2 linked regions of the Cricetulus griseus genome follow. The protein of the gene in region 1 binds, or shares a complex with, the protein of each later gene. Links are inferred from orthologs where the notes say so. Each region holds a gene or a part of one and is shown in the gene's direction. Other genes may lie near its edges.

Region 1 (4,600 bases):
AAAAGCCTGGAAAGAGACAAGCTAAAATGTTATTAAGTCTCACCCTTGTTGTTCAGAAGCACATGACAATTGTAGATTTTCTGAGTCTGCTCCCAGTCTTGGCCACGCTCATGGAAACCACCCAAGGACAGCCAGATTCCACATTCCCTGGGGGAGAAGGGACACTGACAACTCTACTCAAGGCGCTACCCCCTTTATGTGGCAATCCAGGAACAATACCCGGTAATGATTCTACTTCCCTCCCACCCTTGTACCTGGCAAGCTGGCTATATCGTCCCAGAAGGTCCCCATCCAGTGGTTCAGACAGCTGTAATGTCTCGGCAGGATTTCGTGCAATGAAGTCAAATGCCTCAGGCAGAAAAGCCAGGCAAGCACCCAGTCTGGCCGCCTCTAGAACCAGCTCAGCACATGTTTTAAAGTTCTCTTGCTTGTTTGGTGTTGATGTTACCTGGCACACAGCCACCAGGGGCAGCTCCCAGGAAGTTGAGGAGGACACCTCCATAGCTCTGGGCCTGTGAATAGCACGGGCAGTGTTCTCAGATTTGCTAGCACGGAGAAACCCAGAGGCTCAAGTGGGATGGGGCCACAGACCTAGATGTTTTTCTTTTTTGAGACAGGGTGTTTTGTAGCCCAGCCAGGTCTTGTTATGTAGCTGAGGATGACCTTAAACTGCTGCCTGCTTCCCAAGTGCTGAGATTACAGGTGTGTCCCACCATCCCTAGTGACTTCTTTCCATTCTTTCAGAGCATAATAACCCCAGAGCTACTGGTGTTCACTTATTAAATGTTTGGTGGGTGGCAGACAACTTTGTCTCCCCACACTGCAGTTATAAACACGGATTGAGCGGCAATGTGCCAGGCAGAGAACAAGAAAATATGTTACCTGGGCTGAGTACAAAGTACCGAGATTCGAGGCAATCTGTTTCCGGTACACAAAAGGGACAGGAGTTGGCGAGGAGGCCTGGTGATGAAGCCCAGCCTGAAGAGGGTGAAAAATCAGGACACCTAACCTTCCTTCAAGTAGTATGTTTCTAGAATTCTCTGTCATTTCCAGGCCTGGCCAGTAATCCCCTCCCCCAAGGCTTCAAAAACATCCCCCCACACGATTAGCTGTGGAAAGAGGTCGTAAAAGGGAAACATGGGAGAGGAGACTGATCCGAGCCTCAATACCTCAACTTCCAGTGATCTCACATTAAAACTGAAGCCCCTTTCCTCTGCCAAACGTTTCCGCGGTTCAAGTCATCTCATGGAACCTTCCTCGCTTCCCCAATTCTCTCTTCTCGGCTGTGCCACCTGCACAGCTTTATAGGCTCAACGCGTATCTCTCCCCTTACAGCAGTATCTCGAAAGGCAAGTTCACTCTCCCTAGATCGCCACCATCTCGAGGTGGGCAGGGGGCTCCGGACCAGATCCCAACCCTGGACCCCGCCCTCTGATTAGCGCGCCCTTCCCCGCCTCTCCCTGGGGCAAGAATCTCTGTTGCACAAGTTAAAGCACCGTAGGTGGAATTCACCGCAGCGGGCAGGGTTGGGGAGTAGGTCCTACATGAAGCCACCGCCAAAACCATTCGCAGGGTCGACCAGAGGAGCTTCCTGGAGCCAGAAGCGCAGGGGCAAGTGGGTGGTAACTACCAGACCGGATGTGACGCAGTGGGAGTGCGCAGGCCGGAAAGCTCGCAGGTGGCGAAGATGGCGGACAGCAGCGGTCGTGTGAGCAAGAGCAGCGGGAGCAGCACCGGGAAGGGGGCGGTGTCGGCCGAACAGGTGAGCATCCGCGAGCGCCGAGGGCAGCTCGGCCGGTGTCGAGTTCGTGCAGGAAACGGGGTCTGTGGCTTGTACCGGCCCTCAGCCCTTTCCACGTTCTCCGTGTCGCACTCGCGGAGGGAGGCGATCACGACCCCTGCTAGGGCATGCGGAGGTGGGTGTGCAGAGGAGAGCCACGTCCGCAGGCTGCAGCGGGAGCCCAGTGGGAAAGCCCTGAGCTGCGGGAGCTGGGAGGGTGTCCAGGGCCCCAAGGTGATGGGGTCGTCGTTTCCCCCGTCTCCGAGCTACTGGGAGGCGGGCCTGCTTCGGCGTTGCATCTAGTAACGAACCCCAGAGGTTATTAGTCGGGGAATTGTTTAGTCTGTGACTCTAAAACCGCGCTCACCATCGCCCACGCGCTGCAAAACCACGTGACTCAGACTCGACCGCTTCAGTCTTCTGTAACTATTTTTTTTCTGGTTTTTCGGGACAGGGTTTCTCTGTAGCTTTGGAGCCTATCCTGGCACTCGCTCTGGAGACCAGTCTGGCCTCGAACTCACAGAGATCCGCCTGCCTCTGCCTCCCGAGTGCTGGGATTAAAGGTGTGAGCCACCAACGCCCGGCCTTCTGTAACTATTTTAACTAAGGAGTCTTTAGTAGATTGGCTTTGTGGTTTAGTTTGGTTTGTTTGATGGTTGGTTGGCCTTGGGGTCGGGGGTGGAAGTTGCGACGGGGTCGCTCTATGCAGTCTTGACTTTTCTGAAATACACAGTGTAGACCAGGCTGGCCTGGAACTCAAGAGATCCGCTTGTCCCTGCTCCTGCCTCTCGAATTCTGAGATTAATAGCCTGTGTCACTAAGCCGGGCCAGGATTGTTTGGTCTTTTGAGACATGATCTCACTAAGTAGCCCAGGTTGGCCTCGAACTCGCTCACTGTGTTCTCGGAGTGGAGATTGACTTTTTAGAAGAGACCGGAAACCCTTTTCTAATCTAAGTTTGCCCCCACCCCAATACATCGGGATATGTCTGACTAATCAGAAAGCCCTTTGTGGTATGAGAACCGTGCCTTGTTAATCGTGGGACTAGTATTTAATCGATAGTAGAAGGAAAAAAAAACCACACAATTGAAATGAAAAGAATTGAGGCTAGGGATATAGCTTAGTGGGCCAAATGGGAGAGCCCTGAAGTGTAGGACATGGGAGGGTGTTAATTAATTGTTGAACACTCAGTACAGTCAGGTAAAGGTAGCCGAATAAAGAGTTTAAAACCTGCCCTATCAAAGAGCATATCTATTGGGACAAAAGGGGGATTTTCATAATTCTACTTCGAGGCAGAAAATAAGTGTTCTAAGAGAAGTAAAATGCATTGAAATTTGGAGGTAGCCTCCAATATAGTGGCTAATACTTTTATTGAGGGTCTGTCTTGTGTTAGGCTCTGCTGAACACAGAGAAACTGGTAAATGAAACAGACCTTATCTTCAACTTGGTCAAAGATCCCTAGAAATACAAGACAGCCGAGTGTGATGGCTCATACCTGTAATCCGGCTGGATTACCATGTCCATTCCAGGCTAAGCCTGGGCTACAGAGTGAAACAGTTGTAAAAACAAACATGACAGAAAGACAAATAAAACAATGAGAGTTTTAAAAAAAATTATTTTATGGGCTTGGTGATGGTGGTGCACCATTTTGTCTTAGCACTTGGGAGGCAGAGGCAGGAGGATCTCTTGAGTTCAAGGCCAGCTTGGTCTGCAGAGCTAGTTTAGTTTCAGGACAGCCAAGACTATACAGAGAAATCCTGTTTTGAAGAAAACAAACAAACAAACAAATAAATGCTGGTAAAGGCCCCTTGAGATGGCTTTTGCAGAGGCCCAAGTTTGATTCCCAGCACCCATCCATGTTGCTTGTCTCACAATTCCCCATCACCTTGGCTCAAGGGAATCCAACGCCCTGTTCTGGCCTCCAAGGCAACTCCACTTGAGTGCACATGCTATCACACAGACACACAAACATGCACATAATCTAAACAGTTTTTTTGTTTGTTTTTGTTATTTTGTTTCAGGACATAGTTTCTTTGTGTAGCCCTGGCTGTCCTGGAACTAGCTCTGTAGACCAGTCCCTGTATTTGAGAGAGATGTAGAGGCAAGAGAATTAGGAGTTCAAGTTCATCTACTCAAAGTAAATTTGAGTGTGGGTTACATGAGATTCTGTCTCAAAAAGATAAGAAAAATCCCTGTCACTTGACAGTCAAAGTTCAATGTGTGTTTTGGAGAGGACAAACCCTACTAAAACATAGCTTTATACCCCTTAGTCCCAAAACTTGTGCCCTTACAATGCAAAATACGATTATTCTGCCCCAATAGTCCCCAGAGTCTTAATTTGTTCCAGTACTAACTCAAGATTCCAGGGTCGTTTGTGCAGGGAAAAGTAGCTCATCTCCTTCCAGCATGTAATGCAGAGGCAGGCAAAGAGAGAAGTAGGCCAGAAAGGTAGGTGGGGGTGGGTGGGTGGGTGGGTGGGTGTGTGTGTGTGTGTGTGTGTGTGTGTGTAAAACAAGCCTTAAGTCTGATTCCAAGAGAGCAGGCATTGTCTTACAATTCTATAACAATTTTTCTCCATGTGCCATTTGGAAACCCTGGGGCAGGGATTGGGCCTCTAAAATGCTGGGCAGCTCCACATCTATGGGTTTGTTGGGCTCAGACCATGCTTCATGCTCTTTCCCAGGCAGACAGTGTACATTGACGATTGCTGTACTATTAGGGAGCTGGTAGCTGCCTGACATTCTGAGTGCTGGGACTGAAGGCAGATTGAGCCTTGACAAAAGACAGTTGGATTATGCAGTTACAGAGAAGGCTATTCAAG
Region 2 (4,255 bases), on another chromosome or scaffold:
AAAGGCAGCTGTGCGGTGGAGCCCAGGGCCCCCACCCCCAGATCTGTGTCTGACCTATCCTGCTCCCAGCCTAAGCCTGCAGCTATAAAACTTAACAGTAATGACCCTATTTATACAAAAGAGGCCATGAAAATCAAGTGAGCCAGTGTATTAAGGACCTAAGTCGCCAGAAGTCAATAAAGGAGACTAAAAAGTGAACATCCGATCTGGGCCTTAGGGCTCAGTGAGTATGTGTTCACTCTGAAAGAATGAGGCCCTGGGTTCGAATCCCAAGCACCCACATAAATAAAAATCCAGACACGGTTGTGTGGGACTGTTACCTCAGCATTGGGTACATACACAGAGCTCACTGGCTAGCCAGCCTAGCCCAAAAGCGAACTTCTGGTTCAGTGAGAGGTTCTATTTCAAGGCAGGAAGGTGGAGAAAGACAGGAAAGCAGCTGACACCCTACTCTGGCCTCTGCATGTGTCTGCATGGACACAGGTGCCCCCACACTTACATGCATGCACCACACACACACACCCCCACACACACACAGCACATACACCCACACAAATGGCATACAGCTCAGTGGCAGAGCTGAGCGTGTGAGAGGCACTGGGTTAATTCCAGTTATATACACAGATAAGCAAAATGGCATCGGCGAGGCAAAAACTCCCAGGCCTCGCCTCTGAGCCCCCAGCTTTGCAACTGTACTCTTACTGACACTTCACTGCTCACCCTGGACAATTTCCAGCTCCTTCTGTGTGGGTCTCAGCTTGCTACTGAGGACACTGGATTCAACAAACGCAGCAGCCAGACGAGATTTAAAATGATTACTGTTTCCTTTTCATCTTCAGGAGAGAGAGAGAGTGTGTGTGTGTGTGTGGGGGGGTAATTTTTATCACCCATTATTTACAAACCAGAAGCTGAAAGTATCACCGGTTAAATATAAGTCTCCCTGCCACACTCGGTTTCTCGGCGTCGTTAAACAGGACTTAGGATTTCTGTGTCTCCAAAGCTCTTAACTCTACCACCCATAATATGTAACTATTTTCCCATCAGTGTTCGTTGTTTCCTACTGGGACGACATTTCTAAAGTCGGGATGTTTTACTCCTTGCTCCATCCAACGTGGTACACGGTGGATGCTCAACAACCCTTTGAAGGGAGAGCAAAGAAGGCAGCGCACTGGGCTGCTCCCTCAGAGACTGAAGGGGGCGCTCCTGTCCCGCTCCCAAAGCTAGACCCGCCCCTCCGGCGCCCCGCTGATGCGCATGCGCCACCCCTCTAAGGGCCCTTTTTTTTTCACTGCGCAGGCGCGCCGGAAGTCCTCAGCGCGGCGCGTGCGTGGATAGAGCAGAAGGGGCGTTGAAGCGGTGCCGAAGGTGTCTTGAGAGCTGTGTGTCGCCATGCTGTCCCCTGAAGCGGAGCGGGTGATGCGGTACCTGGTCGAAGTGGAGGAGCTGGCCGAGGCGGTGCTGTCGGACAAGCGGCAGGTGAGAGACGCGGCGGCGGCTAGCTTCGTAAGCAGGCAAGCGCGCGGGGTTCCGGAGCGAGCGCCTCCTCTGCGCTGGGCAGTAGCCTCCCTTTGACCCTGTCCCTGCGGGCCCCCCGGAACCTTACCCTCTGCATGCGGCTTCCCCGACCCCCATCGTGAGTCAGGTTGCTGAGACCCGAGCGGCATTTGGCTGGACGGTAGGGTGACGTGGAGTGGGGCGGGGGAGGCTGGAGGGCCTCGTAGACCCGAAAGGGGAGCTTGGCTCTGGATCTATGATTAAGTGGTGAGTCTCCAAAGGGAGTTCTGAGTGCTGAGAATGTTATCTTTGGATTTTGATTGATTGATAGGTTGGTTTAGACTCTAAACTTTAGAGGGACTCATGTGTCTTGGGGCTGGCCTCGAACTCACTGTGTAATCTCGGATAGCCTTGAACAGTCCGTGTTTGTCCGCCCTCCTGAGTTCTGGGATTATAGGCGTGCATGCACGGGACTTAGGTTTTAAAAGTCTTCTCTAGCTGCTAACTAGTGTGCAAAGAACCATTGAGATCAGTGGTTCTCAACCTTCTAATGCTGCAACCCTTTAATACAGTTCATGTTATGGGTACCCCCCCCAATAAAGTAATTTTCGTTGCTACTTCATAGTTGTAATTTTTTTTGGGGGGGGGAGACAGGGTTTCTCTTTGTAGCTTTGTAAACCAGGTTGGCCTCAAACTCACCAGAGATCCGCCTGCCTCTGCCTCCTGAGTGCTGGGATTAAAGGCATGTGCCACCACCTCCCGGAACCATAGTTGTAATTTTGCTGCTGTTATGAATTGCAATGTTTTGCAGTGATCTTGGGTGACTCCTGTGAAAGGGTTGTTCGACTCCAAGGGTCAAGACCCACAGGCTGAGAACCACGAATTTAGTTATCCAGATCTGGATTTGGACCAGATGTTAGTGATGGGGTGAGAAATATACTTTGGAAATGGTCTCCAAAAGCTGCCATAGTTACTCCTGTGGTCTATAGTGAGAAGGCCTCTGTGGTTCACAAGCAGCAGGATTCCTGTGGACTCCAGCCCCAGAGTCATTGCCTGAGTAGCTGTCATGGTGGTGTACGTCCATGTCTGGGGAGACTGTTAGATTTTCCTACAATAGCCTGTCAACAATAACTGCCCAGGGGAGACACTAAACTCTCTGATGACCCTGGTACATGCTCAGGTTTGAATTGGGCTGTGCAAATGATTCCTAATTGGTAAACTTTTTCCTAGCACCTGCTCTGGAGGAAGGAGGCTCCTGTACAGGCCGAGGGGCTGGCAACTGAGTGGGTAAAGAAACACGCTCATGCTTCAGTCCATGTTAACCAAGACATTGGCCTCCAGCCAGGAAGGATTCCTTGTCTCTTCAGGTTGGGGCGGGAGGCAGCTGAGTTCCTATCTGCTTCTGTTTTCAGATTGTAGACCTGGATACCAAGAGGAATCAGAACCGAGAGGGCCTGAGGGCCCTACAGAAGGACCTGAGCGTCTCTGGTAAGTTGTAACATCCTCACTGAAGCCCTGGAAACTGATGCAGTTCTCCTGTGAAGGCCTTTGTTGTCCCTGCTAGAGAGCAGGCAGGAGGCTGGGACTGTGTGACTCAGCCTCACAGGAAACGAAAACAGCTTGTGGGGAAGAGCGGGCAAACGTTGCAGGTCAGACATATGCTGTGATTCAGGATCTGAGCTGCTCACTTCAGTGACAGGCCATTAGCTTATCACTCATCAATGGCACACAGCACTTAGAAGCAATAATAGATCTGCCCTTATGTTCCACATGAGGAAAAGCAGTGTAAACATACAACTGAAAATTGTGGAAAGCTAAAGATGGAGTTGGCCATGAGTGGATGTTGAGACTGTCTAGGAGGGAGGAGATGGGGCTCTTTAGATGAGCCAGGTGGCTGTGACTTTGGCAGTGTGAGCAAGTGGGGGACAACCTGAAGCAGTTCTGGAAGGATGGGCAGCATTCAGGGCATAATGAAGGGCACTGACGTCCATTCCACTGGCTGCTTATCTCACCGGAGTAAAACCCAGAGTTGTCCTGCAGGATTGATTCCACATGACCCCGCCCCACACACTCCACCATGTTAGCCCCCACTTTCTCACCCACTCATTGACCCACTGGTCTCTTGGTTGTTCTGACACCAAAACACTGCCAGTTCTGGCTGTTGCCATCCCTCTGCCTGGGCTCTGCCCAGGTGTCTAGGGAAGATACCCCCCCCTTTCCTCAGTTCTCTGCCTGGATGTCACATCTGCAAAGAGCCCTTGTACCTCTCCTGATGCTTCCCATCACTTAGCACTATGTGGAAAAACAACTTGTTTATTTACTGTCTTTTGCTTTGTTATGAATTCCACAAGGGCAAGAACTTGTCTTGTTGGGCTATGTTCTTAGCATCCAAACAGTGCTTGGCAGATAGTCAGTGCTTCAAAAAGAAGAAATAAAACGTGTTGAAGTAATGTCTGTTTGCTATTTCAGAAGATGTGATGGTTTGCTTTGGGAACATGTTCATCAAAATGCCTCACCCTAAGACAAAGGAAATGATCCAGAAAGGTAAGGTCTCCTGGAATGTTCAAGGACATGGTCACTTCCCTACCAGTCATTATCCAGAATTGAGAGGCAGCTGTACTGTAGAGTCGATGTGGTTTTGGTTCCTGCTCTGCCACAGTGGGCCTTCCTCATGTGTGAGTGGGGCATCTACACAGCACAGTTGTGAAGCTGAGATAAACAGTATGGTTAGCATGATTCTTATTTACTAGGGAAAAGTCAG

What was found.
Region 2: Pfdn2 (region 1) and Pdrg1 share a complex: the UniProt entries of both Homo sapiens proteins name them as parts of the PAQosome complex. The link is inferred for Cricetulus griseus from reciprocal best matches to the Homo sapiens genes PFDN2 and PDRG1.

The regions. Positions count from the first base shown.
Region 1 is NC_048598.1:21,547,685-21,552,284, reverse strand, and holds the start of Pfdn2 (prefoldin subunit 2), read left to right. Parts: upstream 1-1,632; 5' UTR 1,633-1,687; coding exon 1,688-1,762; intron 1,763-4,600. Other genes in the region: Nit1 (deaminated glutathione amidase), read right to left, coding at 44-147, 255-512, 883-978, 1,191-1,192. UniProt on the Homo sapiens protein: Binds specifically to cytosolic chaperonin (c-CPN) and transfers target proteins to it. Binds to nascent polypeptide chain and promotes folding in an environment in which there are many competing pathways for nonnative proteins.
Region 2 is NC_048599.1:26,995,242-26,999,496, forward strand, and holds the start of Pdrg1 (p53 and DNA damage-regulated protein 1), read left to right. Parts: upstream 1-1,299; 5' UTR 1,300-1,389; coding exon 1,390-1,476; intron 1,477-2,906; coding exon 2,907-2,982; intron 2,983-3,963; coding exon 3,964-4,038; intron 4,039-4,255. UniProt on the Homo sapiens protein: May play a role in chaperone-mediated protein folding.